3 separate regions of the Mus musculus genome follow, and regions 1 and 2 are each reported to be linked to region 3. The links are microRNA targets in miRTarBase. Many come from high-throughput screens and were not tested one by one. Region 3 holds a microRNA gene; each other region holds the end of a gene's coding sequence.

What was found. The annotated mature microRNA mmu-miR-137-3p reads UUAUUGCUUAAGAAUACGCGUAG and lies in region 3 at 8,142-8,164, opposite strand. An mRNA with a match to its seed (bases 2 to 7 or 8) in the 3' UTR can be bound and repressed. Matches are read on the target gene's strand: a 7mer-m8 pairs with bases 2 to 8, a 7mer-A1 pairs with bases 2 to 7 and ends in A, and an 8mer does both.
Region 1: the mRNA of Tbx3 is a reported target of mmu-miR-137-3p. Seed matches in the 3' UTR shown: 7mer-A1 at 4,330-4,336.
Region 2: miRTarBase lists Nr1i3 as a target of mmu-miR-137-3p. The part of its 3' UTR that is shown has no 7-base or 8-base seed match.

Annotation. Positions count from the first base shown.
Region 1 is chr5:119,679,625-119,690,158 of GRCm38, forward strand. Tbx3 (T-box 3) reads left to right here. Exons shown (of 8, transcript NM_011535.3): 7 at 771-1,441; 8 at 3,007-5,100. The coding sequence ends at 3,468. Tbx3os2 (T-box 3, opposite strand 2) reads right to left here. Exons shown (of 3, transcript NR_040416.1): 2 at 8,600-8,773; 3 at 5,464-6,430. Among named protein-coding and RNA genes, the nearest start is that of Tbx3os2, 6.3 kb to the right of the region's middle.
Region 2 is chr1:171,215,761-171,226,294 of GRCm38, reverse strand. It overlaps Nr1i3 (nuclear receptor subfamily 1, group I, member 3), which reads right to left. Exons shown (of 9, transcript NM_009803.5): 4 at 9,747-9,916; 5 at 9,410-9,549; 6 at 9,074-9,219; 7 at 8,865-8,981; 8 at 8,564-8,669; 9 at 7,450-7,706. The coding sequence ends at 7,577. It overlaps Tomm40l (translocase of outer mitochondrial membrane 40-like), which reads left to right and starts at 3,781. Exons shown (of 10, transcript NM_001037170.2): 1 at 3,781-3,920; 2 at 4,142-4,391; 3 at 4,656-4,723; 4 at 5,035-5,127; 5 at 5,389-5,490; 6 at 5,643-5,748; 7 at 5,872-5,994; 8 at 6,110-6,186; 9 at 6,399-6,501; 10 at 6,635-8,492. The coding sequence starts at 4,277. The coding sequence ends at 6,774. Apoa2 (apolipoprotein A-II) reads right to left here and starts at 1,241. Exons shown (of 4, transcript NM_001305549.1): 1 at 1,174-1,241; 2 at 929-1,008; 3 at 497-629; 4 at 1-152. The coding sequence starts at 980. The coding sequence ends at 29.
Region 3 is chr3:118,431,533-118,442,064 of GRCm38, reverse strand. Mir137 (microRNA 137) reads right to left here and starts at 8,208; the gene lies at 8,136-8,208.

The DNA.
Region 1 (10,534 bases), not on the chromosome of region 3:
GTAAATAAATAAATAAAAGAATGAATAAGCAAATAAATAAATAAATAAATAAATAAATAAATAAATAAATAAATATCTGATTGTCCCACCACGAAACTTCCGAGGAACAGAAGGCTCCTGGGGAGGGTGTTTAGTTTCTGCCCATGCCCATTCGTATGCCAGGATTCATTCCAAACAAATCCTCCCCAAATTATTCACAAATTTGTGGAAGTGCCTGACCTCTGTCGATTGGGCTAGCCCCAGACTTTGAAGGTAACAGGAAAGTACTCCAGCAGAGTTCTGAGGTCACGGGTTTAGTCCTTAAAAGAAAAAAAAAAAAAAAAAGCGAATTTGCAATCCAATAGAGAGATGCTAGGGAAAGCTTTGGCTCTAAGCAGCTGGTCTTTCTGGTTTTGTTTTGTTTTAAAGTAGAATTATTACAATAAGAAAAGCTGCCAGTTGGGGGCCTGGCTGGAGAAGGTTGAACACTTGTGATTCCTTCTGATAGTGTAAAGTGTATCAACATCACCATTATCATCGTCCCATTTTACAGACTGGGAAAATGAAGTCTGGGAGTGGTGCAGTCAGGGTTACATAGACAATAAACCGCCCAGTGGGAAGTCATGTTCTTGAGATACTTTCACTCTGTAGTCAGGCTGTCCCCTTGCCTCAGACGCCCCAATGTTGGCAAGGCAGGCATCGCTCCTGGGTGCTGGGCTGGGAGGTGGGGTTTAAACCTGGAAACGAGATTGACCATCCGTTTCCCTTGGCCTTTTCCTCTCCTCCCCAAGATCTGTGTCCCAGCGAAGCCGAGAGTGACGCCGAGGCTGAGAGCAAGGAGGAGCACGGCCCTGAGGCCTGCGACGCGGCCAAGATTTCCACCACTACGGCCGAGGAGCCAGGCCGCGACAAGGGCAGCCCAGCAACCAGGGCGCAGCTGTTCCCCGCGGAGCCCAGCCGGGCCCGCGACACCGCGCGTCTGGACAAGGCATCGCCAGACTCGCGCCATAGCCCGGCCACCATCTCGTCCAGCACGCGAGTTCCGGGAGCTGATGAGCGCAGGAGTCCCGGGCGCGAGGGTCCAGTCGCCACCAAGGTGGATGAGGCGCGCGCGATTCCTGCCAAGGACGCCTTCGCTCCACTGTCGGTGCAGACAGACGCCACCGCGCACCTAGCGCAGGGGCCCCTCCCGGGCTTGGGTTTCGCCCCAGGCCTTGCGGGCCAGCAGTTCTTCAACGGGCACCCGCTCTTCCTGCACCCGGGCCAGTTCGCCATGGGCGGCGCCTTCTCTAGCATGGCTGCAGGCATGGGGCCCCTGCTGGCCACAGTATCCGGAGCATCCACCGGCGTCTCAGGCCTAGAATCCACAGCCATGGCCTCGGCTGCCGCAGCGCAGGGACTGTCTGGGGCGTCGGCTGCCACCCTGCCCTTCCACCTCCAACAACACGTTCTGGCCTCCCAGGTATTGCTTCCTGCCTGCCCGCCTATCACCCACCGGTCCAAGCCAGCCTCAGTCCCAGTCCCTTGACTAGGAGTGTTAGCTTGTAATCCATGCTAGTAACTATTAGAATATTTTATTGACCCTCAGCAGGGTGTAGCATCTATCTTACTGAGCCTTCTTGAAACCTACCCTCCCCACCCCACCCCACCCCCAGCTCCTTTTTAAATTGCTTCTTGTAAATTAGGCTGTGAATAGCTTAGCTCCACACTATTAGCTTTGTGACAAGTTTGGGTCATTTGATGTATCATCTCTGGCCCAGAGAGGTTGAATCCCTTGGCTAAGGTCACACAGCTGGTCCCTTGGTGGAGCAGAGCCTGGGATGAGCTGACTCTTCAGGGACCTCTTTTGGTTTCTCCTTCCTGCCAACTTGGTTTACTGGAGGCTCATAGCCACTATTACCCCCCCAGGAGAGATGTGGGGAAGGGAGGTCACTGATTCCCTGGGTGAGAATTTGGTCTGGAGTTGAGCAAGCCTTCTCGCTAGTTCAAAGCCTTTCTCTTCCACCCGACTCCCAAACAGCCCAGCCTATCTCTAAAGGGTTAATGGGTTGCACACACGTGGGAAATGTCAAAGAAGGGAGGGGCTGGCAAGCTTGTGTGTGTGTGTGTGTGTGTGTGTGTGTGTGTGTGTGTGAGAGAGAGAGAGAGAGAGAGAGAGAGAGAGAGAGAGGTTCAGACAGCTGTGCCTGTGCAAGGAAAGTGCTCAGGAGAAGGCTCTGAACCCAGTAGGAAACCTCTCTGGTATTTTTTTTCTGGCCTACTCCGACCTTTTGTTTTGTCTGAGCATATTCATCTCCCTTGCCTGAGCCAAAAGACACAGGGTCCTCCTCATTGGGAGAAGATGGAGCTGAGAAAAGGGCTAGCCTCTACCTTACCACCAACCCTACCTCTCTGCACTGCCCCGCCCTCTCCCCCCACCCCAGACAGGCAGGTGACAGGTGGAGGAGGGGCAGCCAGAACAGACTAGTCTAGTGGCATCAGGTAAAGGACACACCCAGGGCTCTTGCATTCAAATTCTGCTTCTGTTTGGTCTTTTTGCCCCACCCCCTCAAGTGCCTCAGTATCCTGCCTGGAAACTAACCTTCGAGGCTGGGCGCTTGCTATCTTAATAAGTAACACCTTTTTACTCCACCTCCCACCCACCCACCCAATTTCACATCATTCTTATTTTCTTACTTGGGAAAGATCTAGAGTAGAGAATGGAAGATACTAAGATACTGTGTGCACCAGAATTTAACTCTAGCCTCTTTGGTGGAAGCCCTCGCTGAAGCCACTCAACAGGTGCAGCTGCTCGCCCTCCTGGGAACTTGTTAATAGCCCCGAGGGTTAGGCACCATAGATGACATATTGTGGAAGATTTAATAGCCACGGAACTCTCCAGTCTATTAACCCCTTAGTTTAGCATGCAACCCAGGAAAAGTGTCCCTCCACTCCTCCAAAACAGGTGGTTTGCCCCAGATAGTAGGCGGTGGAGGAGAAGGGTTCCCCACTCTCTAACTCCCTATGTTTCTTCTCTCTCTTCCCCAGGGCTTGGCTATGTCGCCTTTCGGGAGCCTGTTTCCTTACCCCTACACATACATGGCTGCAGCAGCTGCAGCCTCCACCGCGGCCGCCTCCAGCTCCGTGCACCGCCACCCGTTCCTCAATTTGAACAGCATGCGCCCCAGGCTGCGTTACAGCCCCTATTCCATCCCCGTCCCAGTGCCGGATAGCAGCAGTTTGCTGGCCACAGCTTTACCATCAATGGCTTCCGCCGCGGGGCCCCTAGACGGCAAAGCGGCCGCCCTGGCAGCCAGCCCAGCCTCGGTGGCTGTGGACTCGGGGTCGGAACTGAACAGCCGCTCGTCCACGCTGTCCTCTGGCTCAGTGTCCTTGTCACCCAAACTCTGCTCCGAGAAGGAGGCGGCTACCAGCGAACTGCAGAGTATCCAGCGGCTGGTCAGTGGCTTGGAAGCCAAGCCAGACAGGTCTTGCAGCGGGTCCCCTTAAAAACAAGAAAAACAAAATCGCCCCCTCCCCCAAGGTCTCTCCATTCCAGTTTGGTCAAATCTGCCAGTGCACTTTGTTAGATGTAAAATAAACCACGGGCCTTCCACATGGGGTGACCCCCGCCCTGTCCCTTTCAGTTTTGTCTGGGAGGGAGCACTAAAGCCTTTCCAGAGACTATGCTAGATACCACAGGCCCTGCCACCATGGGCTGTGTAACCAGGCTGCTGTTGCTTTGAAACGCGGGACTGAGGGGGCGGGAGGAGTGGTGGCAAACAGGCTTTTGTGTCTAGAGCGACTTTTGTGCAGGCTGGTATGGAAGTCGGGGCTGAAGAACAAGGTAGCCAGGCCAGCCAGGAGCGCGGGTCTTTGAGAGACTTCACCGGAATCTTTCCCCCTTCGTGTGTTTAGTGGAAACATCCCCCCTCCTAAACAAACTAACAAAACCAATATGGAGGTGGGGGGAGATGAAGTCCTGTGGAACTGTCTATGAAGACTGAAACTCACCAATTGCTGAGTACTTTCGTTGGGGCAGAGAGAAGAGGGGCCTTACCTTGCCCCATCTATATTAAAGGAATCCTGTCTTTTTTTGTTTGTTTGTTTTTAAATATTGTGATGTTTTAAGAGCCGATGCTGGCTTCTTTTTTGCATGTTACAGTTTTCTGGGTTTATTTTGCCCCCCCCCCCTTTTATGGAAAAACAACGGAAGTCCCATTATCCTCAACCTTGCTCAAGGCGGCAACCAGGAGGAAGTGGGGTAAAAGGGGCAGCTATGGGCATGAAACCAACCGAGTTGATTTTTATCTGAGCGCTTGTAGAGGGCTTCGTGTGCCTGTTGGACCATTAGTTCTTTTAACTGTATATGCAATAACAAGGTTTTAAAAGATAATAATAAAGAGGAAACACGACTATTGGACAAAGTATTTATGTAATTATTTGATATCTCTTGTAAATAGGTGGAATATGACTGCTCAGAAAGTTAAACTTTAATTTATTGAATTGTACATAGCTGGATGTAAATAGGAGCGTGTCTGTCAGGTTTTATTCTTGTTTTGCCTTTTGGGTCTTATTTCCAGGTCAGGAGATGGCTAATCCACACTAGCAAGCCTAGGCATCTTTATTCACATCTCCATGCTTTCAAGTAGAGCTGGCTGCAAAGTTTTTTTTTTTTTTTCTGATGGAGGGGGTGGGATCGGGAGTACTCCTAACTATTTTCACCAAAATTGGGGAGGTAATGGCCCTTCCGGGCTCCACTTGAAATTCCCTAAACTCTTGACACCCCCAGAGGGGTTGAGATTGTTGTGTGAGTAGGGGGGGGGGGGGAACGGCCTTGCGGAGGCCACCATAGAACCGTCCTAATTTTTCATAGACTCTGGCATCTTACTAACCCATGTGAGGTTTTCATTGTTCATCTTTATGGTGTTTTGGATTGGTGTACTGAGAGGGACTTGGTTCAAACGACCATGAAAGGCAAAACAAAACAAAAAATTAAAAAAAAAAACAAAAAACAACAACAAAAAAACAAAAAAAAAACCCAAGAAGGAGTATTTTGTGTTTAGTCTTTGATGAGTTTTCTGTAATTCTCCCCCTCTTTAAAAACATCACTGAAATTTCAATAAATTTTTATTGAAATGAGTTTTGAAGTTGTGGTAATGATTTCTTCAAGAGTTGTCTTTCAGAGCCGGATCGAGGATGATCTTCCAGTCTGCTCCCTTCCTCTCTAAATAATAATTAAGACCACCCCCACCCCTCCCAGCAACCTAAAATGAAATGTCACTCAAGTTAAAAGGCTGAAAACAAGTCCCTTGCTCCGGCGAAGGGAGCCACATTTGATTTGAAAATATTTTCCCTTTAATTTAGGGAGCAGAACGGGAGAAGAAAGGGGCCTGATTAGGTTTCCTAAAGAGGAACTTCATATACTTCAGTTTTAATGGGAGAAGATTTTTACCCTGTGTTCAAAGTCGGCTCCCCCCCCCCCCCAGGAATCCGACCGGAAATAAGAGCTAGGAGGGGTTTTCGCTTTTAATTCGTTTTTCCCTTTTCTGACATGGATCACAAAACAAAATAAATAAGGTCCGCTACACCCACGGAATCTAGCACAGGAAAAGGCCAAGCAGACTCCCTTATCCATGGACATTCAGGGCTGTGGGTAAGGCCCAGGAGTGGGCTCCACAGTGACCATGAGAGAGAGGCAAGGTGCTTTCGGAGTCCACATGGAACACCCAAGGCAAAAGGCACCGGGGAAGCTACCATCTCATTTCCCTAACCAGTCCCGAGTCAGTTAGGCAACCTATCTTTTTGAAGTTCAATTTATCTTTGAATCTTTCAAATATATACATATATCAATCAATCAATTAATCAATCAGTGAAGCCTCTGTCCTGTCCTGTCATTCTTCAGTCTCCCCACCCTCCAGGATCCTCTCGGGGGCGTGTGTGTGTGTGTGTGTGTGTGTGTGTGTGTGTGTGTTGTGTTGGAGAGGGGTTACAAGGGAAGGTACTCTAGAGTTAGCCCTTAGGACTTTCTTGCCCTGGGGGCCTTGACTCAAAGACCCAGCTGGAGCCCGCCAGGCGGCTGACTTGCCCCCAACCCCCATCCCGGAGCCCGCCAGCCGGGCCCAACGTCCCTGTCACCTCTTGAATGGAGAGTCATGAGGGGGGCCCCTCCTCTCCCCTCCTGTGTTTGGAAGAGGATCCAGCTCTAGACCTTGGAGGGGTGGGCAAGCCCCCCTTTTCTAGCCCAGGCACGTGGGGACCCGCACTGCTTCTCCCCAGCTGTCTAGGGAGGAGGAGAAAACAACGGGAGAGAGGGGACTGGAGAGTGCTTAAGGGGACATGGGGACGGGAAAGGCCGGTCCTCTTCGGGACCAAAACTCTTCTTCACAGTCCGCCCTGGGAAGGTGGTAGTTGGCTCATGGCCTCCGGCTGCGCGAGCTCCCAAATTGAGGAGAAAATAGCTCGGCTTAAACTGCGGAGAAAGCAGAAACCAAACCAAATCAAACCAAACTTGCTTGGCTTTCTCAGTCGGATTTTTCTTCCCTCTTTCCTCCTCCATCCCCCAAATTTGGGGACAGTGCCCAAACCTGTCCCCGGCCCCTCCTCAGACTCTCTTCTTTTCTTTCCTCTTTCCTTTTAATCTCCGCTGTATCTTATTTATATATAGTGCTGTTAATGTGTAACTCTTGTGGCGCTGATGGACCAGGGGTGACTCGCTCGCAATCTCTCTGAATTTCTGTACCTATTACTCACCTGGCGCCGGTCGCAATCTCGCCGCGGGCTTTATGGTGGTGGTGGCGGCGGCTGCGGAGGCCACTCGGGGCCGGCGCCTGGGTTGGTTGGTTTTTTTTTTTTTTTTTTTTTTTCCCCTTTCCTTTTTTTTTCTCCTTGGCTTCGAGTGCCACCTGTCTGTCTGACCCACGAATGCGCCCTGCCTAACTGCGGCTGGCTAGGCACCCCAGAGCCTTCTGGATTCTGGAACGTGAGGTCTTCACCTCTGCGCCCCTTTCTGGTCGCACCCCCCCCCCACGACCCCAGTCTGACATACCCTCTCCAAAGCCACCCCGCCCCGCCCCCACCTCACTACTGTCAGAAGAAGAGCCAAGTCTTCCATCTATCCCTATGTGGGCCTCAGACGAGATTTCCAAGGGATTTTTGGAAAGTCAAGGAGGGGGACTGTAGTTCCTTATTCTCTCCGTGTGGAAATATGGAGATACAGGAGGAGGTAACCAGGATGGAGGAGTAGCAGATAAAAGGAGACACCCGCACCCCTCCCACACACACACACACCAATCTGCCCACATAGTCTCAACTCAGACCAACTTCGCTTTGTCCAGATTTTTTGTTGTTGTACTATATAAACTCCAAGTTTGGGACTTTTCTTATTTTTCTCCCGGCCGCGTCTACAGGGACAAAGGAAGACCAGAGTTCTTGCAACCACCAGCCCCCCTTGCGACTCCCATCCCCGCAGTGCTGGGGGACCTGCAGGGCTGGAGTGCCTTGGAGATCCGTGGATATAAGGTCATGAATGCTGGTACCGGTTAGAACCCTCCGGGCGCCCGCCCACCAGCCCGCCAGTGGGGAAGATCGGCTCCAGGCTGCGCTGGCGTCTGAGACCGGACGGGAGGGGCTGAGGTCACCTTCGCTGGGCTTTAGAGCTGTGGGTAGAGGCGTCCGGGTTCTTCCTGACCTCCTGGCGCTAATTGCAGGGGCCGAAGGGCGTGCTTGGGCACAGGCAGGGGTCGTGACCCTGCAGTCAGCCCCCCTGCCCCCGGTCTAGGTTGTCCTGTAGTAACTAGCGAGGGGTGTACGGTGTGTAGGCTTGTACAGAGTCTCTCTCTGAACCTGAACTGTCCTAAGATCCACCTATGCATGGGTGAAAGTTTCGAAGTAGGTAGAGGCCTTTCAAAAAATTCCATTCGAGGAAAACCAGAGATCTGACCTTTCCCCTAAGCCAACAGACAGGCTCCTTGAGGCTCTATAAGACCGCTTGTAACCTTGCCGTCAGCACACTTTCTGCCTCGCCGGCTTCTAAACTTGGGCTCTTGGCAGCCAGCCAAGAAAATAGCTATGGGGGAGTATTTGTGTGCCCCCCCCCAGCGTTCCCCCAGGAGTGGCCTAATATTGTCTAGATGAAGCCATAGAAGTCGGTACCTACAAGGAGCGGTGGGATGCTGGTACTCCGAGCCCAGGGGCCCACAGGTGTTAGAAAGCCATGTGTGTGTTTGCGTGTTCTTGTGTGTGCTCCATCTGCGGACGTCCCTTCCAATTTGGATTTAGGAGTTTCATTTGCGAGACAGTTCCGGATGTAAAACGCACTCGGTTGTTTTATAATCAAGATGCGTATAATCAAGAAATATATGTTGCAGATGTGGGTGTTCAAAGCACACAGAATAACCACGATAGAAATTGATGGCGTTGCAAGGGGGGAACGCGTGCGCGCTCTGGCCTGGTGCACTTGGGGAAAGCACCCACGAAGTGACCTCAGTCACTCGCACGATTAACCCTGTAAAGGGCGTTCGATTTTCAGGCCCCGTGGTAGAAAGCGCCAGTACGCAGACGCAGGCAGATTAAAGTCGTTAACCTGAGCTCTGCTGGCGCCCCAGAACACAACCTTTCTTCCTAACTCAGGTGTCCCTACCTGCAGTCCCGGATACAGAGAAATTGTGGGTCGGCTTGGGGATCGGCTGCTTCCATTCTTCAGAGGTCAGGATTGTAATTTTGGTGTGAATCCCATGGTGCAATTGTCAAAGTAGGGCTTTGATTTGGAATCAGGACTTCTTTCTCTCCAGGTGAAGACTTGGAGGTTGAGGCCCTGTGGATGCCAGGTAGAAGGGATTAATTCGTCCTCAACCAAATACTAGAGTGGTTAGTCAAGCAGGCCCAAGGTTTATATCCTGGCTTCCTCTTTCTGGCAGATCAGGGACGAAGCTGAGTGTCCTAGGCTCCCAGGCTCAGATGCCCCTTGGGATCCCCAGAGTCTACAGTTGTTCTCTTTAGCCAGGAGCAAAGGCCTAGAGCTGGACAGACACAGACACAGGCTCTGCAGGTGGGGATTCTGGGAAGATCGTGTTTATACTTTGCTAGTTTGTTCTGTTCCTTTTCTAGAAACCTCTGCAAATGCAGGTTTTGGGTTTTTTTTTTGTTTTTGTTTTTGTTTTTCCTTTCAGGTCCTCTATTTGCATCGCATCGATGTGACTTTAATTGCAAGAGACAGAAAGGGAGTAAAAACCAGGGTTCTGCTGAGAAGCCAGAGATCTTAGACAGAGGACCAGCCCCTGGGCGATTGTAGGCCACACACATTCCCCCACCCCCACCCCCATAAGGTGCAGAGGACCCAAACTGAAGACTTGTCTCCCAGCTTTGGTCTAAGCCTCAGGAATAGGAGACAAAACCAGGGGGACCGGAAAGAATTCTTTAGAACAGGGTACCGACTGATGGTGCCATCTGGTTTTTCACATGCCCCTACCACCAGCTGCACCAGTGCTAGGATCCCAGGCAGCCCAGTATTGGCACTTTTAGAAATTCGATACCCCGGCACTTTGGTTTCCTGCTAATGACCTGGGCTCTGGTTTCGGATTGCTGAGTTGTCTGGTCCCCAGAGCGGTGGTTTGTCCTCCCCAGGACCCCAGAGCCAACCCTGGACTTGTATTCTTTCACACCAGCATTTTTCTTGGCCTCACCAAAGTCTCCAAGTGTCAAGGACACTATGGACACCAAACTGACCCTCGGGTAGACCTTCCTTCCTTCCGGTCACCTTTGTGGGGCTGTCATTCATTTATCTCAGTCCCCAGAACCAGCATCTTGTAGGATTTTTTTTTTTTAAATCTCTCTGTGCCTAGAAGAGGCATTCTTCACCCTGGCAGTAGCTCTAGCTATCTCCCAGTTCTCCCAATCTGGCAGAGAGCCTTGGGAAGAGCAGGTTTGGAAAGACAGTGCCATAACCAAACAACTCAGGAGCCACCACACAGGAAAAGCAACCCCTCTATCGGCCCAGCCCAGCCTGCTCTCCCCAAGGTCAGCTACTCTGAGCTCACTGGCTATTCTATAGGGCTATTTTTTGAGGAGCCCGTGAAAATTACACAGAAAATGTAGTTTACATGTGCACAGCCTTCTGAAAGGGCAGTAGAAGTTCAGATTCTCGGAGATGTGTGATCCTAACCAATGACCTACTCACACACTGCTCAGGGGACAATAACCAATGGGGTTTAGGAACATTTGGACTTAAGATTTAAGATGGTGCCTTCAGCCTGGGGCTTGCCTAGGTTAAATTTAACTTTAGCACACACACACCCCACTCCCCACTTCCCACTTCCCACTCGTAGCGCCTGGTCTTAGCCTGCTTATTTTAAATGGGAAGGCTGAAGGAAGTAGGTGTGTTCGGGCACTGTATAATTAGTTGATTAATCAGTTATATTAACTTATCAGCCGAATGATTATGAGCAGTCATTATCACCCTCAATGAGTTCTCTGTTAATTTCCTGTTGGGAGGGTCACCCTCTCTAGGCTATCCCAGGCAATAAAAAGCAACTACTTTTCATAAAACAAAATTACTTCTCACTAGAGGCCAGGGTGG
Region 2 (10,534 bases), not on the chromosome of region 3:
GGGGTGGGAAGACTGGGCCTGGCACATCTCACTTAGCCGCAGGAGCCGGTTTCTCCTCAAGGTTCATTAAACTGCTGAAGAAGTTCACCAGACTAGTTCCTGCTGACCTGACAAGGGGTGTCAGCTGCTCGTGTGTCTTCTCAAAGTATGCCCTGGGGAACGGGAGGAGCAGAGGTTAGAGTCTTTGTTGGTGATGAAGGTCAGAGCAGACTGACTAGGGTCCCCAAATAATATACCCTGGTATACCCTGATATAGCAAAGCCTGTTAGAGGCGGAGTGGGTAGGCCGTCCATGCAGCAGAGGATCAGACTCTGCAGACTGGAGTCCAAGGTCCACCTCTTGCTGCCCTCATCTAGGGTAAGGAAGGGATTTTTCTCCCCAAGTTAAGCCTGAGCATCCCTAACTCCAACCCCTGAGTTAAGATTCCTGGGAGACTTCCCTCCCTCCCTCCCTGAAGCAGTCCTGTAGCCCTTTGAGTTCTCTCCCAGAGACTTACTTGGCCTGGCTCTGAATCTCTGAGGTCTTGGCCTTCTCCATCAAATCTTTGCCATAATCAGTCATGCTCTGAAAGTATTGAGTGAACAGGCTCTGCATATCCGGTCCGTCTGCCTGTCTCTTAACCAAAGCTCCTACACAAACATAGATCACAGTCTCTGCATGTAGACTGCCAGCAATGAATCCCGGTCTCCCCTCACACCCCACAGGACCCACCCCAGCTTTTAGCCCCTTCCCCAAATTGGTGGCCTGCTACGTATTTTCTGTTGGTGGTTTTGAGTTGGTTTGGGTTTTTGGACTTTAGAAAGAGAATAATCTTCCTGTTGAGTCCACTGGTTGATGCACTCAACCTATACAAGAAGCACAAGAGAGTTGGGCAGCCAAGACTCTCAGTACCTTCTTTCCTTTGGTTTCCCCCGTATCAAAACCTCACCTTCCAGGCTACAGATGGTGACCAGCAGTGCGACCATTGCGAGCAGCTTCATGATGGCAGACTATGGCCTAGGAACAGTGCTGCTGGTGAGAAAGAACACTGCCGTCAGAGGGGCTTCAGCCCCTTGCAGGGATTCCCCCCCACCCAGATGGATGCTCACTCTAACTTAGCTCCTTCCCTCTCCACAATTAAAGTCCCATGCTCTTTGCACGTTGCCCACCCACAGCTCTGTTCCCTCAGCATACCGATTCTGTGCTGCAGTCCTTCCCGTCTACTCTGGGCTTGACTGGAGGTAGGGGCTATATACACATATACTCCCCCACCCCCACCCCGTCAGGTGATACGGAGAATGGCAAGTCCAGAAGGGCAGAGATCAGGCTGGAGTAAACAAGGGTTAGACATGGACAAAAGGACAAGCAAAAGGGACTCTTGGTGTCACAGTGAACCACAGGGGCATAAACTCTAGTGAAGGCCAATGTCTGCTTATGATTTATCCTTTTGGGATCAGGAGTTGATGGGTTTATATGTATCCATCAGGTAATCAGGATTCTAAGTTATTTTTCTGGAAAGCTCCAACATGCAGCTCTTAGCCCTCGTCATCTTTACCTTATTATGGACAAGTTTCATTTCCCCAACCCTTCACCCCTTCATAGCAATTTGGCAGAGAGGAATTTGGGAACAGAAGGAGAAAGGAGCAAGGCACAGTGGCACAAGCTTTTAATCCCAGCCCCGGGGAGTCAGAGGCAGATTGGTCTTTGTGAACTTGAGAGCAGCCCGATCTATATAGTGAGTCTCAGGACGGCACAGAGAGATTCTGTCTCAAAGGAAGAAAGGAAGAAAGAAAGAAAGAAAGAAAGAAAGAAAGAAAGAAAGAAAGAAAGAAAGAAAGAAAGAAAGAAAGAAAGAGGAAGAAAGAGGAAGAAGGGAAATGAATTGAAATAGGAGGTGGAAAGGAATGGGGGTTATGAAGATATAAGTCAGAACAGGTACAACTGCCTCTGTCCCTTTTTGAGTTAATGTGTAATGAGATAGGAAGGGGGCATGAACACCACACACACAAACACACACACACACACACACACACACACACACACACACACACACACCCCTCACGGACATACAAAAGACACACAGAGAAAATGCTGCATTGGAATTATTGTATTTGATAGGTCTCATGAATGAAATTCCTTTAAAATAATCATGAAATACAAGTCCATTTATGGGTTCTCATCAATGTGTGCTCCCTGCCTCCAAAAAACAAATTCAGAAAAATAGCCTCTGCCCTCCTGCTCCCAACCTCAGTAGTTAAGAGGCTCTGTCCAAATCAAGGTCAAAGGGCCTGGACACTTGATCCCCTTATCAGTTAGGTCCTGGCCCCTGGCCCAGTTCTAACTGTGTGGAAGGACAGAGGTACATTCGCTAGGCCCAGGGCTCTCCAGTGGAGTCAACTCAGTAGCTACTGAAAACATTCCTATCACTCACCTTTTTGCCACCAAGCTTACCCTGTGTGTACTGGAATATTAGTGAGAGATACGGGGGTGGAAGTGTGGAAGCTAGGGAGGGAGAGTGCAACCGAAGACCAAGAAATCTGTTTATTTTAGTTATGTGTTTTGCTTCCACGTGTATCTGTGTAAGAGTGTCAGATTCTCTGGAACTGGAATTAAAGTTGTGGGTGCTAGGATTTGAACCTGGATCCTTTGAAAAGTAGCCAGTTCTCTCTCTCTCTCTCTCTCTCTCTCTCTCTCTCTCTCTCTCTCTCTCTCAAACACACACACACACACACACACACACACGACTCTCTCTCTTTGCATGTATAAATGCAAACAACAGAAGGGTACATCAGATTCCATTACAGATGGTTGTGAGCCACTATGTGATTGCTGGGAAGTGAACTTATGACTTTTGGGGAAGCATCTGAGCCACCTCACCAGCCTCGTCACTGCTCTTACCCACTTCGCCATCTCTTCAACCCTTGCATATGCAATCTTGCATATTTCCAGTTGTCCTCTTGTGGACTTACCTCTAGTGTCACATCACTGCTTGCCCCTGGCCCTGGGGGGAGGAGCGTAACTTCAGGCTGCGGTTGTATTCTTAGATTTTATTTGTCTTTTCTCCATGTAAATAATAACTAGAGAGGGTAGCTGCTTCGGAAGCTAGTTCTGCCCACAACTCTCTCCTCGCCCTCAGAACTCTCACAGTCATTTTTTTTGGGGGGGGGGGGTCGTTGAGACAGGGTTTCTCTGTATAGCCCTGGCTGTCCTGGAACTCACTTTGTAGACCAGGCTGGCCTCGAACTTAGAAATCCGCCTGCGCCACCACGCCGGGAAGGCAAGGCCTGTGAATTCCAGCGGGGGAAGGGGGGACGGCGGGGGGCGGTAGAGGTCTGTTTTGGGGGGTTGGATTGTGAGTAGCAGTCCTTTGGAGGTGGTATAGAGTGGAGAGTTGTGGGGATTCTCCAGCCGGCTTTCAGGAAGGTGGAGGGTAAAGTGAACCACGTCTTCACAACCCCTGAGTGTGATATATTCATAAAATAGGTCTTCAAACTATAGTTTCACTTTTCTCACGTTCCGGTTTAAGGAACTCCATTGGTCTAATAGGCAAAATGCTCCCTCTAGTGTCTTGAATGCTCAAGAGTTTATCTCGACCTTGAGGAGGTTGGGCGGTCTTAAAAGGGGGCCTTCCACTAACGTCTAAAGGGCCACCCACAAACTCCCACTCGCCACTGCACTCGGACTGAAGCCCTGGGGCCTGCAGGCCTGCCACTCTTCTGTTTTCTCCTCTCCTATTGGTCACTAGTAAATTGAGGCACCTTTTTCATCATTGAGTGGGTTGGGTCTTTGGGCGCTTCCTTTGCCCATTTCCAAGATGGCGCCTACGGACATGCTTGGAATACAGGGTGAAGCTGCAGTTCTGCCATTACTCAAGATGGCTGCCCCCATCAAGATGACCGGGTGTGCCTAGGGGGAAAGAGGCTGCAGGATGGTCTGAGATGGTAAGGGCTAGTGTTCCATTGCGGGCAGACCCTTGGGACGTGGGAATGAAGAACAGAGAAACTAGAAAGTCAGCGGAAGCCTGCGGTAGTAGTTAAGACTAGATAATGGGAGAGCAGACGGGGGTGACAGGTGGGGGTGAGGGATCAACGATGGGGCGGGAGTGTGCCCGGGATTCAACTTTAGCATCGGTGTTCTCTCCCCCTACTGTTCCTTATTGCAGGTCTAGCATTGAACCATATGGAAGTTTCTGAAACTGGGGAGCCCGATGATGGGGGGTGGAGCCCGTGGGGGATAGAGGGAGCAATAGATTTTATCCCCAGGCTAACCCCAACCCCTCCCTGTCCTCTGGATTAAAATGGGGAACACCCTGGGCCTGGCACCGATGGGTACTTTACCCCGCCGGAGCCACCGTCGAGAGGAACCGCTGCCCAACCCCGGGAGCTTCGACGAGCTGCACCGGTTGTGCAAAGGTGAGACCGCAGCTTTTGGGTGTCTCAGGATGAAGGGTCATAGAGAAGGGGAGGGTCCTGAATGCTGATGTCCAGTGATGTGAACAGCGAGGGGAGATCACAGCTGGAGCATCCGGCAGTCAAAAAGGACCAGATGTTCAAAGCAGAGCGTTTTGTTGCAGGATTTGAAAGGAGGTCATTTCCTCCAGTGCTTCATATGCAATTGAAAGGGGAGTCCGTCTATGTAGTTAGGGGTCCTTATCTGTGCATGTTCCTTCCCTTCAGATGTATTCCCAGCACAGATGGAAGGCGTGAAGCTGGTTGTCAACAAGGTTCTGAGCAGCCATTTCCAGGTGCTCCCACTGGTCTGGCCCCTACTTACCCCCCTCCTCCCTGCTTGTCTCTGGATCCTCTTTACACCTATTAGTCCTGTCTTGGCTAGGCTATGTGGGACAAATGAGGGGAAGTGTGGGGTCCTCCCCCCCCAATGCCTTTAAGCAACAAGATGTGGGACTTGTTGCTTAAAGTCCAGTGGCCCTCTGCATGCGTTGGAATAGTTGAGGTTTTAAAAAGCCCCCTCTGGATGGAAAAAAAGGTCAAGGGTGGGAGACGGGATTGAAACGAAATAGAATGCTCTGTTCTCCGTTGTCTCCTCTTTCCTCAGGTGGCTCATACTGTGCACATGAGTGCCCTGGGCTTGCCAGGGTACCACCTCCATACCGCCTATGCAGGGGACTGGCAGCTTAGCCCCACAGAGGTGAGGGCTCCCCCACACTCGCGTCAACTGTGTAAAACGCACATGGACGTAGGTCTTGAGAATTTGGAAATGTGTGTGATCAGCAACTATGTTCTCAGTGCCTCTTCTGAACGCGAGCTAGTCCTGTGCAAAGCTGCCCGAGTTTGTCTTTGGCGTCCACCAGGGGGCACTGTGAGATGTTACTGAAATCCCTTCCTGTTCATGTGCCAATGGATAGAGCTACCTACCCATCTCAGCCTTCCTGTCTACGCTCCCTAACAGGTGTTCCCCACTGTGGTGGGGGATATGGACAGCAGTGGCAGTCTCAACGCCCAGGTCTTGCTTCTGTTGGCAGAACGGCTGCGAGCTAAGGCTGTCTTCCAGGTGACCCACAGTTCCTGCCTCCATCCACCGAGGCACCTCTCTTTCTCCTCCATGGGTATCCTGCCTTGGGGGACGCAGGGGGAGGAGGAGCAGAGGCAATACTGAATATAAACAGAGAGAAGGGTATTTTATTTGTTACTCTCCCCACCCAGACACAGCAGGCCAAGTTCCTGACATGGCAGTTTGATGGCGAGTATCGGGGAGATGACTACACAGCCACTCTGACCCTGGGAAATCCGGATCTGATTGGGGAATCAGGTGGGGAACTGGGACGGAGTTCTGGGGGTGGGGGGACCTTTTTGGCTAGGCTAGGGTGGGAATGACCAGATGGTAAGAAACTAAACCTGACTCCCTGACTCTTGCATCCTCTCTCCCTGACAGTGATCATGGTTGCTCACTTCCTGCAGAGCATCACCCATCGGCTTGTGCTAGGAGGAGAGCTAGTTTATCACCGGCGGCCAGGAGAAGAGGGGGCCATCTTGACTCTGGCTGGGAAGTACTCAGGTACGAGATCAAGTGAATGATGGTGAGGAGGAGAGACTCGGGGCTTTTCTGGGGTTCCTTTGCCTGTATCTACGATGGTAACTGCCTTTTCCCTCTGTTCTCCCCCACCCTGCAGCTGTCCACTGGGTAGCTACGTTGAATGTTGGGTCAGGTGGGGCCCATGCAAGTTATTACCACAAGGCCAATGAACAGGTAAGACTACCAAGCTCATCTCTTAGCCTAGTGAGTCAGTCAACCAGAACCTTCTGCCCCTCGAGTCTTCCCAGGCTTCTGGCCTATGATTCTTTCTGGCCTCATCTGGTCTACATTTTCACACATGCATTCCAGCTTGCTTATACCCTGCCAGAACTCCTGTGGGATTCATGGCGACGGGTCCTCCTCTCGTTCTTGTCCCTGCTTCTCAGGTTCAGGTTGGAGTAGAGTTTGAGGCAAATACAAGGCTACAAGATACGACCTTCTCCTTTGGTTACCACCTGACTCTGCCCCAGGCCGATATGGTGTTTAGAGGTGAGGGTTTTGAGACACTTAGAAGTGGTGAGGGATTTGGGGACATGCAGGGAGGGAGGCTCTACCTTACTTCTGTTGACTCCATACTCCAAGTCTGGCTAATCAACCGGGTCAATATACTTTTCCCCGGCAGGCTTGGTGGACAGTAACTGGTGTGTTGGTGCGGTGCTGGAGAAGAAGATGCGTCCCCTGCCTGTCACCCTAGCCCTTGGAGCCTTCCTCAATCACTGGCGAAACAGATTCCATTGCGGCTTCAGCATCACTGTGGGCTGAGGTTGTCCTGGGAGCAGCCTCTGCAGCAGCTGGAACCTTTGAGTCTGATACCCTAGGGCCAGAGACTAACTTGGTCCCTCTCCAGAGCCTACCTTGCCGGATGACTCCTAGGTCCCATGGGCAGAGTGGGGGGGACAGGACGATGTCCTCCTCAGAACCAGAACTGCCGGAGAGTCATTTTTTCCAGTTAGGTAGCGGGTTGAGGTTCCCAATACTGCCATCAGCCCCACTATAATCTCCCATAAGCTGTATGGCTCTGGAGTAAAGGAGAGGGACTACGGGATGTGTCTGGCTTCCCTCACCCTACTTTTTTTGTTATTTTTGTTTGATTGAGATATTACTACTCCTTCTTCAAAGCAGAGAAATCTGCATGGAAAGAGGGAGCAGAAAAAAAAAAGCCTCCTATCCCATTTCTCCTGGTTTCTCCATTCCTCAGTCTTCCACTCCTTCCCTCGGGAAGGGAGGATTAAAGAGTTAAATCTCTGGCCACAGAAAGACCAAAGAATGGGCCCACCCATTCCCAGAAGGAACTCTAGTCACCTCCTAGCCCCGAGGCTTCCATCTTTCCCATCCCCTGTGTTTCCGGAGAACAACTTTGGCCCTGTGGTTGCCCACCTCCCTTCTCTCTGTCCCCCACCCACTCCACGCCCCACTGATGAGTGCACTAAGAGACAGTGACTGTTCAGCATTTCATTGCCACTCCCAAGCTCCTTCCTGCTGGTTCCCGTGTGGGGTCCAGCGCTGTACCCTTTCCAGGCCAGTGTATCCCTGGGGGTCTGGGGAAAGGATGCAAGCCTGGGCCTCAACTGCAAATCTCCCCGAGCAGCGGCGTCATAGCAGACAGTTCCTCCAAGCGCTGAAGTTCATAGGAGTATGCATTGTTTATACTCCGGAGGTCAGCCAGCAGGCCCATCAGCTTTGCATACAGAAACCTTTGGAGGAAGGAGCAGGGTTACCAGGGAAATAAGGCAGCTGGGAGTCCTGTCCTGAGGTTCCTATCCCCTGGACCACTCCTCAGAGAGGCTAAGTCTGAGCAGCAGATGCTCTGGAGCTACATCTTGGAAAATCTCAGACATACCCAAGAAGGGCCTCTATCAACACTGTTCCTTCATTGTGCCTAGTTTTTCCTGAACCCAGGGCTTTGAGGTCAAGTGTAAAAGAAGTTCTTGGCCAAAACGTCAACTGTATAGAATCTGAAGGTGAGGCCTTCTAGATCCAGTTCTAGAAGGCGGTTGTGTTATTCTATAGTATAAAGCATCTCCCTCGTAGCAAACGGATTCATTAGGGAATGAGCAGAGCGAAGGTGGCATAGATGTCTGAGCCTGCACTGTTGAACTAGGCTCTGTCCGTGAAAGTGTGACGGATCCTAATTTCAAGGGGACCTAAAACTTCAAGGAATTGACCCAAAGGAGAGGAGCGGGCCAAAAGAATGAACAAGACTTTGAAATTTTGACTTTAGTTTGGAAAAGTCGGAGAGGTGAGAGGTAAGGAATGTCACCAGTCTCAGGAAAGCTGTCACACCCAGGCCATGAGCTACGACTTTGCATCTCTACTGACTGAAAACAACAACAGGAGCCAACAACTTGGAAAAGGGAGACAACACAGCAGTCTGAGCAATCTGGATACTGTGTGCGATGGATGGGGTGGTCCGAGGGAAGGTCTAGATTCCTAAGTACCTGGTTTCCCAAAGGAAACAACAGTAAAATGCATCCATCCGGAGCTCAGTGTTTCACAGATCCCTTCCTACCCCCGGCGCAGCCTCCGAATCCGCTGCCTCCTTCCTCCCTACCGACTTTGGAGCCGAGACTGTTGTTCCATAATGTGGTTGTTCAGAATCAGCGCCATCTCCTCTTGTAGCTGATCTATCTCTTCTCTTTGGGTAACTCCGGGTCTGTCTGAGAGAGGAGACTGGGAAGGGCAAGGTGGCAGGGGCCACAGATGGGGGCCTCACATTGTATAGGGGCTGGGGATGGTATAGATAGACCCTTGCTTAGGCTTGAAAGCTAGAAGGTCAGGGAAGGATTAAAGGGACCGAGAGTTGGGTAGAGGTGGAAGGGGCCAGAGTTCCTCAGCTTTGGGATGATCCTCACCAGGGGAGAAGAGGGCCGTGGCAGCCATGAGCACATACTCAGGCTCCTGGAGATGCAGTCCTTTCAGGTTTTTATGGAAGTGGAGGATCGACTCCAAAAACTCGTACTGGAACCCTGCTGTGAGAGATGGTAGACTGAGGAGCCTCCTGGCCATTGCTCCACACCTCATACCACTGAGATACATACCCTGGACCGTTCTACCATCTCACCATGGACTGCGTCCTCCATCTTGTAGCAAAGAGGCCCACAGAAGAAATTCTCTGTTTGAAGACAGAACGTAGTGTTGAGTGAGATATGCAATATTTCCACAGCCGCTCCCTTGAGAAGGGAGATCTGGTCCTCCATGGTTAGGGACCTGTGTCGGGTAGAAAACAAGGGCACTTTAGACTTAGGTCTATCCATCAAAAAAAAGGTCCAATCGGCACACTGCAAATGTAAGACCCTAGCACTCAGAAGGCTAAAGGATGTCATACCAGTCTTTAATCGGAGACCGGTCTGACTTACCGAGCGAGCACTTGCTTCCTGAAAGGCCATGTGCTACTCACCGGAAGAGCGGCAGATCCTTGGTGAACTTGATGATCTGTTGCACCATAAACGTGTTGATATCTGCAAAGTGTGTGAGCAGAGGCAACACGGGGCCCCGAGGCTGGAAAGGCCGGTGATGCATGAACAGATAGGCCGGAGGCTGTAGAGTTCAGAGCTTTAGTAAGAGGCCCCAGCCTTGGCTGCCCTTGAGGGCTCACCAGGCTTATCTAAGAAAGGTTTTTTGCTGAGGAACCTGCCCATCGTGGGATTCTGGAGATCTGTTCTCCATCAGGGCATAGCCTTCTTCTGTGGGTTACCTCCTCAGGTACCCAGGTCACATCCTGGTTAAGTTCTCACCTTGAACTGCACAAACTGGTCAAACATGGGGCCCACATGGCGAGTGTGGGCCCCCAGGAGGATCTGGACCAGTTCTTTCTGCTGCTGATTCAGTTGCAAAGATGCTTTCTCTGCCCGCCGCTGTGCCTGTCTGGCTCGCCGCAATGCCAGGGCTTCTGCTGACAGTATCACTGTGTCAGGCAAGAGAGATGACAAAGCTGTTGAGACCAGCAGCGAGCACCTTTCAGCCATCCCTTCAGTTGGGGCCACTCCACCTCCCCAGATAAGGAAGGAGGAAGGAAGAAAGAGTTTCTGAGGCTTCCTTGGGACTTCATTGAATTAATGTTTCCTGATGGCAGGGGAATCCCTGCACACTTTCTGTCGATCTCATATTCATCTGTGATACACTTCAGCAGAAAGCAATGCACCATGGGAAAGAAGGGGAGGGTGGAGAATAAAGTGGGAAGGGTATAGAATGTTTGGCTCCTTGGAAACATTGAAGAAGGGTCTTAATATTGGAAACATCACTTTGTATCTGCATAAATCGTGATTTCAAAGGCTCTGAGGCTAGATGTCAGTGGATCTAGCAACTCTAACTCAGACCTCATGTGTGTGTCAGAAGCCGACTCCAGTAACACTTCCACAGTTGTACAATAAGTGATATAGGTTGGGCAGGGTCATTTGGCTTCTACAGTCTTTTCCACTGCTCTGTGTTGAAAAGCAGTATGGGAGGGAAAGCAGGAGTTTGAGGGGCAGACAGGCTTGATTCCGAAGTGTGATTCTGTTTCCTAGCTGACTGACTCCGACAA
Region 3 (10,532 bases):
TTCATGCCTATCCTAAACTCATGAAATTTTGAATTTTGTGGGGGTAAGAGACTAGGAAATACTTATATCTGAAGAAAATAAGCACCCAGGAGCACATTCTGTGTCTCTGCAAAGGAAGGTTACACTGTGGAAAGAAGAGTATCAACCTTCGGTATCTTTACATATTTTACATAGTAAACAGTCTTCCTCCCTAAGAGCTAAACCAATTGCTCAGAGTAGAAAAACTAAACTCAGAAAACACATGTGCTTACACATTATATCAAATATTGTTGATACAGTCTTACAAATTTTCCGAGTTTACCTGCTACCAAAAGTGTAATCTAAATATAAGATGTTTTCCAGTAAGAATAAAATGATTGAAATAGACCGTCTTCGTTTGAATGTAAACTCTCCCTTAGCCAAGCTTGCCTTTAGAGAGAGATGATGGTTCCTGGGATTTGAGAAACCTTAAGCTATCCTGCCAGAAGGAATTTTTATACATGCAAGCTAGGGCCATTGTACATACAGATGATTCAGATTTTACGGGATGTGAAATTCTATACACCCCAATGTGAATTTCTGCTTAAATAAAAACAGCAAGAACATTTTAAAATATCATTTAAACTCACTTTATGAAGCAATTCCTTCTACACCAATAAATTATGTAATGGCCACTGACCATCACAGCTAGAAAAGAAGCATCAAATTAAAATAAAGACAAACATTGCTTCTAAAGTTTCCTGGAGTTCATGTTTTCTCTAAGGTGTATTGATGCCAGTTATTAACCCTATCAATAAAAGCCCTTGCTGCAATTCCTCTTTGTCTTGTTAAATATGTCACCTCAAACTGCAGATTCTTTCATGCAGTCCACACCTTGAATATTGTTTTCATGACCTGTGTCCCTCAACTCTTGTCAAATTCAATTGTTGTCTACAGAAATTTCCCTATCCAAATGTGACACTGTCTTCAAATTGTAACATTGGATACTACTTCCAATGAATATAACATCCACAGATAACAAAATCCTGTTTGGGGGTATACAATCTTCTCCTTTTCTCTGTTTTTGGTCTGTTTATCACACAGTTCTACAGCTGCCTTCGGATATCTGTATTCAGCATCAGTAAGGACCCGGTACATTCTGATATAAGGACTAACAAATGGCTTCAAAGCCTCATGTTTCTGCTCCCAGGCAGCTAAGTGAAATCAGTTGTTACTGAAAACTCTGTGCAAAATTTAAAATCTATCCTCGATGTTTTAAATGGACATGGTTTATAATATTATTGACCGACATTTGGACAGTTAGTAAATGATCTGATCGAAATAAGAGCTGACAACGTGTATTGTCTTCATTTTTAGAGGACGGGTTTACTTTTTGAGATTAGGAGTGAACTTATAGTTATTGTGTTTGGGATACCCAGGAATGTCCCAGCTTTCAAAAGAAGTGGCAATTAAGTCTGCTTTCCTAAATAGTAATAAAAAAGCATTTTAATAATTGTACATATCTCTAAGCTATGGAGAAATAATTATTATACTATGTGTATATATATATATATATATATTGATTGACAGTTAAAGATTATGAATAGTACAGGTAGTTACATTTTAATTTTAAATAAAATGCAAGAGGTGATGGACACATGAAATGATTTCCCATTATAGTATATTAAAGTGTTATTTGGAATTTATCAAAGAATTCAAGTTTGAAGAAAATGTCTTTATAGATTTTCAATTACATGAGGGTGATATATGACAGAGAAAAATTAGTATTTTGCTTATGCTATTAGTAAGCAAATTTGAGAATTAGAGTTTATCTTAACATTTAACTTAAATGCAATCCACACCAAAGCCAATTTTATAAAATAGCTACTTTTACAATGTTATCAGATAAGGGAAACTTATGACACTGATATCAACGAGAGTGCACACACACACACACACACACACACACTATGATATATATCCTAAAAACAATAAATGCTTTCAGTAAATTAATGTATATTTGAGTACCTACTATATGTCAGATGGTGTAGTAGTTACTAAAAAAGTTTGTCATATAATATTCGAGTTAAATTTTCCACACAAATATTGATCCTACAAACAGAATAAGAGGCTAACAACATTGTACTCCCTTTTTAAAATAAAATTAATTTTAAGAGTATAAATGTTTTACAAACCTGAGTGCTTACTCACTTACTCTCTCTCTCTCTCTCTCTCTCTCTCTCTCTATATATATATATATATATATATATATATATATGTGTGTGTGTGTGTGTGTGTGTGTGTGTGTGTGTATTTGTGACTTTGAACAAAGTTGCTTGCAATTTGTACCCATTAGGCAGAAATACTCCTGAGACCATTATTGTTTAGGGAATGTCTAGCATATCATATGGTCACAGAGATAAGGAAACTTCCAAGATAACACATTAGAATGAATTTTTCTTATATGAATAAATGTCAAGTTCAGGGTAAAAAGGTTTTGGGAATTTTTCTATTTGCTTCATGTTTTAATAATTAAGCAATAATAATTAAGTAAAAATCTTGAGAATCAATCTTTGTTTGATATAAATGTTTCTTTAGTAGCACTGAAACATCTCAGCAATAGAATTCATCTGCATTTCGTCTATATGTGAAAGGAAGAGTAAGATTCAAACAAAAGTTTTACAGGGCTGGTTTTAGCTTTTTATATTGGATTCTGAAAGCCCTAGAAATGGGAGGCATTGAAAAAGTCTAAGCAGAGAACTTGTACTGAAGAAGCCAATGAGGATCAAGCAGCCATTGCAACCAGATTCTTGTTCATTATAGAGTCTGAGTTCAGAGGAAGACTTTCTAGTTTTTACTCCAATGACATTTCTAGCATAGGATATCCCATTTCCTTATGGTAAGTATGATAAGAATTAAAGAAAAGTCTTTGAAGGCTTTCCATAGGACTTAACTTTGAACTTAATTTTTTCATTTACTTTGCTTTGTAAATACAATCAAAGCCTGTTAAAATAAAAGATATGAAAACAAATTCATAAACCTCAGTTCAGAATCATGCCATAACATGAATGCTTTGACGCTTATATAAAAAACTACCCATATAATTTAAAAACTTATTCTACATATTCTAATTAGGTGGGAAATGATTTTTCTAATGATACTTTCTGATAAAATATTAATTAATTAATTAATTAGTAACTTTAAATTTGTGGCTTCTTTGAGCTAGTACTCAAGTAGACCATACATGCTTAATAGAAAAAAAGGGCATCATTAATTACTTATTAACATGTAGGATAACAATGATAAGAACAAAAGTTAAGAAATTATTAATTTTTAATGACATACAACTGTGACAAAAATCGTACCATCTATTTTTCATTCAAGCTGTAAATACGTACTATTTTTGAATTATGTAACTGTTGCCTTCACTATATACTTTGCCATCTCTTTGAAGTATGCAGTGATACAAACTGCATACGAATCAAGAATAGAGTATTACTAACTAGATTATGATTCTGTCTTTTTAGTTTGAAGTTTAGCGGGTGAGATTCAGGACTAATTTCAAGGCAGCAAAACAAATGTTACAAGGCTTGCTTTACATTCTTACAATTGAGTATTGAATTAGTGGAAGGGTAGACTTTTAGATTTGAAAAAACTTTTGATTTCAACCATCCTGATATATGTGTATATTTTATGATACTGTGTATATTTTATCATACACATATAGTATGATACCTTAGAATGCTTGTACAGATATCATTATATACTTAATCATTATATATTTAATATATATAATTATATATTTAATTTAATAATGTAACCTTTGAAGATCAGGTTCTCTTAGTTAACTTATATCATAATTGATCAGGATATAACAGAATTCTGATTTGCAATATAACTAGTTGCAGATAATGACACCTGAACAGCAATGCAAATATCATAGTGTGTTTCTTTTATTGCTAGTTTACTCAATAATCAACTAATTAATGAATTCAAAACACTTTTCAGGGAAATGTAAAACTTTTTGATTTTTCTTTTTGTCCTACACTTTTGTGTATTGATTGTTATGCTTTATAGCTGAAAAGTGTATTTTACAGCATTGTGCAAAGTGTTATGAAGCATTCCTCAATTCAGTTCAAGGCTTTTAAGTAATGATACAACATACAAGTACCCTAGGAGAAAACAAACATCACACACACACACACACACACACACACACGGAGAAGACTGTGTTACTTAAAACTTATTTATCCTTTATGTTTGTAATTGTGTAAGTACCTACAACTAAGAAAGGCTTTAAGTATTCTGAGGTGATTAGTAATGTTTTTAAAGCAAACTTACTATGTAGAATGCATGGCTCTCTAGAATTCTGAAAATAGCATTTTATCATTTCTAATACAAAGATGGCTACAGCAGTTTAGTGTCAAGAAGATGGTGAATAATTGTGGTCCTCACTTTCCTGTTATCTCTTCTATGGCCTATCTTTTTCTTCTGTTCTACACAAAGTACAAAAATATTTCCTACCCTTCCCATCACATTCACATCCATTTTCTATTTCTTCTGTTAAAAATTTACCATCACCAAAATGAAATATAATAAGAAAAAAAAATTGATGGAATTTTCCCCTTCTACCATGCTACTTGCTCAATGCTTTTGTTTGTTTAGACTGTAGTCAGGAGCTTTTGTTCTAGATTCACACTGGTGTAATACCAGGTATTTGTTCTAGGGTTGACAATGGCTTCAGAAAATAGCTTGGTCCCGGAGTATAACTAGTTACTGAATAGTATATTTTGTGAAAGTCACTAATAGAAATTCTTTTTAGTGAATTAGCATAGGAATCAACATGGACGTCTGCATCTTTAGTCCTGAGTTCAAGTTCCCTGACATGCTGCAGCAACACCAGAACACAATACGTAAACACAGAGAAAATAAGCAAGTCCCATGTAAAGGCCAGTGTCGTTCAGACACCTTACCTGAGATTTAGTAGCAAACAATTAAGCAAGATGATCTTTCTTACACCTGTTTATGAATATTATGTATTACAGTGTGAATTGAGTGTTCACAGATATCATACACCCTGGATGATATCACACATCATGGATTCCAATGCTCTCATCATCAAACCATGCATTGAGGCTATACTTTTTTGAGCATTTAGGGAGTCTTATTTAAAGAAAACTTAATGATGAAAGAAACATTCGTAAGTTTTTTCCCATTTCTTTTCATTATACCAGAAGTGATGTTATCCAGCAAACAAAGAGTCTAAGCAATACCTACAATTGCTTAAGGAAATAGAAGTTCTCTTCATTTCTTAAGGCAAAGCAAATATTATAAAGATGGTGCCTATTCTTCTGGAGCGTGGGCCTTAATGGAAAAATGATTGTGGCTACTTAGTGTCTGTGTATTCTAATGTGAAACCCACCAACAATCTCTTTGCGCTTCTTTCCTGCTGCCTAGAAATACAGATAGTGTAAAAGCACTGAGCGGCTACTTGTGATGTAATTTTAAAAACTGTGCCTCTGATCTAAAACAATAGGCTGTCTGGTCACAAAAACAACTGATCACACTCATGTGCAGTTAATAAAGTTTGGGTTGATTTGATTCCCCCCCCCTTTTATTTCAATGCCTGGATTGGGGAAATGGCCCTGCCCCAATAATCTAAAACAGAAACCAGTTCAGTCAGACTGACACCTAATGGAAACTTTTATAAGTAAATAAGTCTTCAAGAGAAAAATTTAAACCATGCAATCAGAAGAAAATCAAAACACTTCGTTTGTCATAGCATGGGGAAAGGCTCCCTTCTCTTTCAATTCCTATTATCCCACTCTAAAACTTATTATTCATTTATGAAGCGATTTCAATCATGAGCTGAAGCGCCAGTGCCGAAGAACTGAATGAAATAGCTTATTTTCAAAAGAGAGAGAGAGAGAGAGAGAGAGAGAGAGAGAGCGCTTGCTTATTCCCACAACAAATGATGGAATATGACATCTTCCATTTCTCCTTCCAATACCAGTCCCTCAGCTATGTCTGCCCTGAAACCTTCCACACTTAGTCAACCAGATGAGATTACCTTTCCAGGCAAAGCAAGCAGCTAGTCCACACCAATTCTCTCTACTTTTTTAATTTCCAGGGAAACAACAGCACCCATAGACACACTGAATGTGGTTAGATACTTAACGAGCACAATATTTAAAAGCCCTTAATCACCAACTGATGGATCCCTAAGAAAGGCAGTTCTTGGAACAATGAAGGAAAGAATGTTAGTTACATAGTTAGTTTTCTTAGTAGTGACAGAATGTTGCCTGCAAAGACAGCTTCTTTTTGCTTCTTCACCCCATTGTGATAAATGGGCTCATTCCCAGGAGTCTGAACAGGACCACACCCGTTTCCCCTCTTATCAACATAGCTACAATACAAGTGCTATCAGTCTAGATTGCTTGGGACTCATTCAGGGGGCAGACACATAAGGACAGGGAGAGGAAAAGAGAGGTCTGGCATGGGGATCTATCATTATAGATCTAGCGCTGGAAGAAAGGGAAAGACCTAAAATGGGAAAGGCTGTTTTTCCAGGGTTCTTGCAGTTTCTCAGGGGGTTCAGCTTGCTCTTCAAGGCAAGGACCCAGTAGAGAGACCTCAAGTCCTGAAAGGTGAATGACAAATACTCCAGAGGAAGAAAGTGTCTGGGCGCTGCTGAGCTTAGAATGGGTCCCGGGAACCCCATAAGAAAGAGATGCTTTCATTTCTCCAGCAGCTTCGACTTCTCTGGAATTCAGTCTTCTTCGCAGCCATTCCCTCAAGCAAAATCAACCGGCAACGCGCAAGGGAGGAAAACTGGTCTTAAAGTCTATCCGCCTTGGTAACCTTCTGGGAACCTGAATCACTCTCTTCCCAGGCTTTCTCCTCCCACCTTGGAAGCACCCAAGGAACCCGCAGCCTCCAAAGAGTAAGAAAAGCAAACTGCACAGCCAAGAGGTCCGCTCACAGCTAGGGTTGAGTTCTCGAGCCTCTGCCCTTGCCTTCCACCACGATGGACCATATTTTCCGGCTCCAAGGAACACCTTAAACTCCTGCTAAGTCCGCTTGCCCCGGGAATGCCCCGGCGTGATGGAAGGGATCGAGCCAGCGATTGCTTGCTCCTCGCTAGGAGGGGACCCATCCACATTGCTTTATGGTCCATTAACATTATAAACAGACAAGAAGAGTGGAGGATTTTCTCTTCCTCTCATCACTCTGCTGCAGACCCGAGACTGAGAACATATCTTGATTTTTGTTGATGTTTGAGACTCATTCCAAAGGCAGAGGTAGGGAAGGCAGCGCTGGAGAAGTGTCCCAAAGAAACTGGACATCTGAACAGTCACTGCCTGCCCCAGCCTCTTTCAGAAAGGTTCCAGCTCTGTGCCACAGTGCAACCAATCTCATTACCAGCCTGCTTCTCCACATCTTCGCGGAGAATCCAAAAAGAAAATAGGGGTTCCTCAGAGACCCACAACACTTGTAATCAGAAAGTTCCACCGGGACCCAGCCCCCTGTTCCCCGCCCCTTCCTTAGCAAGGTTTCCATGTCTGCTTGCTGAGCAGCTCGGCGGGTCGCGGGTGGGGCTCCAGCTCCGCCCCAGGCCAGAGATTTGCGAAGTCACGAGCTTGGACAAGCTTGCCGGGGGGCACCTTCGCACACGGACACGCCCTTTTGGCTGAGGCATGCCCCAGGCGACCCTCTCCCTGCTCTAGCTCAGCGCTCAAAGATGCTGCTAAACTGGTCCAGGCCTTTTAATCCTCTGCAACTTTAGAGAATCTTTCAGATCCGCACTTTGCCAACCCGCCCTCTACGAGAGAGAGAGAGAGAGAGAGAGAGAGAGAGAGAGAGAGAGAGAGAGAGAGAGAGAGAGAGAGAGAGACTACTCAAAGGGCCCCACAGCCCGGGCTTCAGAGACCCTCTTCCTTTCTCCGCCTCCCATCTCCTCCGCCTCGCCCCCCGCCCCCCCACCCCGACGCGCACCCCCCCCCCGCCCCTTTTCCTTCTAAAAGCGGTCTGGGTCACCAGAGGAGCCAGGAAGATCCAGAACGAAACCACCCGAGGAAAAGAAAACATAAAAAGTGCTACCTTGGCAACCGGGAGCTTTTAGTGGCCAGCTGGTGGGCTGGGAGGGGCGGCCGCTGCCCGCCTGCCGCTGGTACTCTCCTCGACTACGCGTATTCTTAAGCAATAACAACGTAATCCGTATTATCCACCCAAGAATACCCGTCACCGAAGAGAGTCAGAGGGCCAAGCTGCCGCTGCCTCTGCCTCTGCTACCGCTGTCACTGCTGCCGCTGCCGCTGCCGCCACCGCCGCCGCCGCCAGAAAGAACTCTTGCTGCGGAGCCCGCCCCTGGCTAGGGCTGGGCTGAGCTTGACCGGGACCATAAATCCATAACTCGATTTCCCTAAAGAAGGCTCCAAAGCTGTGCTCTATTGCTTCCTGCCCAGATCTTCCAAATGGCTGTTCTATTTCCAATTCTGAAAGACAAATCACAGGACCAACCACTTAACACACAACAGACAAGTGCTTTCTTTCCGCGCGGAGCAGAGAGTATGTGCCAAGGATCTTTGGGGAGCGATAAGTAACCTTCAGTTTACCTGGTGGTCACCCAGCGCTCTCCTTGGTATTTGCTCTGCTTCATGCGGACTCTGGTCATGACCAGCTCACTCTAGGTGCTTTGATTGAGTGTCATGGCAGCGAGCGGACCCTGTAGAAGACATGCATAGTTAAGCACACAAATATTACAAATGTATTTGCCTGGCTGGCTTTAGGAAGAAGTGAATCTCAGATCAAGATAGGGTCATGCATTGATGGAATTTTCAACAGTGTGTTTTGGAAATGCATGTTCTCACAGAAAATAAGCAGTCATTCAATTTATTACTTGAAATCAAATACTTATAGATTTGCAAACATAGGCATCTCCCCATTGAAGGCCCTAGAGCTATGTACAACATAATGGTTTTTAAAGGGAGGGAAACAGCTTCGAGGCACAAAATAATTAAACCCATTTTCCATACTCTGAACTCACTAAGTTGACAAGCTGGTTGAGCTTCTAGGGTTTAAGGGTCATTTAGAACTGCCAGGGTGTTTAATTTCTCAGCCCACCCTTTCAGTACTCACTATGAATACATCACTGTGCAGGGTTGAGAACACCTTGACAGAAAGCCCTTTGAAGCTCTGCCCTAAGTAAATAATTTTAAGAAGGAAACCCAATAAAAACTCATTCTCAAAGTGACTAATTTTGACATTAAGAGAAAAATCCCCCATTCTTTGGTGATCTACATAGCTCTTACTTGAGCAGCTTTGTCTTAAGACCCTAGAGTGGATATACCAATAAATGAGGGGGGTATTGTTCACTAAATAAAATGGACCAGTGGAACGCCACCACCCAAGACATGCTGCAGCTCCATTAGAAAGTTCTCAATTGGTTTCTTGCTTTACTTTCAAATACATGAAAGTACATCTGTGTGAGTGGAGGGGAGGAACATGGAAAGATGGCAACAGACATGATTTCTGAAATTATGTAAGTGCAAATAGCTCTCCATCAAGGAGTAATTATGTAACAGTCTCTCCCACCACCACAACTCATCTCTGACTGACCTGGTTGTAATTTAAGGTACTTAGGATGTACCTGCTCTCATTATTATTTTTTGATATAACACTTCTCCAGGTAGACCAACTCATCCTTTTCCTGACACATCACTTACAAGTAGAAAAACCAACATGAATTCCAGGTCTTATGATTTAATGTTTGCCTGAAATAACTCAAAAGAAAAATAGTACTTCTCACCGACTATAGCCTATCTTTGCAGTTATCTTTTTAGGTAACTCCATTTACCAAAAGATTCAAGCCAGTGAAACAATTAATAAATACTATTTTCTGCCATTACCCAATATAGATATAAAATGGAGCTTTTCTCTGGTACTACAACCAGTAGAAAAAAAATCAAGAAAGCTGACAGGTTCCCTTTAGCCTGAACTCCTAGAAACAAAAGCCCTTAGGGGAAGTAAGGCAATAGTCTATGAGCAACGTGTGCATTTCCTTCTTTACTCTTTTATTTAAAATCTCAACTGCCTCTGAAAGGAAAACAAAACACATTGCACAGATAGGATTTGATTTACTAAATGGAATGGTTTTCAAGTCAGAAGCATGGTCAAGGCACACATACACATACACACACCTCGCATACACACGTTCTCCTCATGCTGTAGAATCATGGCATAAATGCCCACACAGCTTTTCAATGCTTTCCAAGTTCTTTCCCTTAGTTTATCAGGATTACAAGAAAAATCACACACACGCACACACACACACACACACACACACACACACACAAGAACACACACATACACACACACACAAGAACACACAGAGAGACCCACAGACTAGCATGCTTTAAGAAAAAAAATCTGGAACAAGACAGGCGATAGGTTTTCTTCCTAACCAAGCAACAGAGTCAGCCCTTTCCCTACATACCAAATGCTCCACACTTCAGCACCTGGACCAGTGGACAGCTCAGCCCAAGCGGACAGCCTGCAGCACTCCCACCAGAACT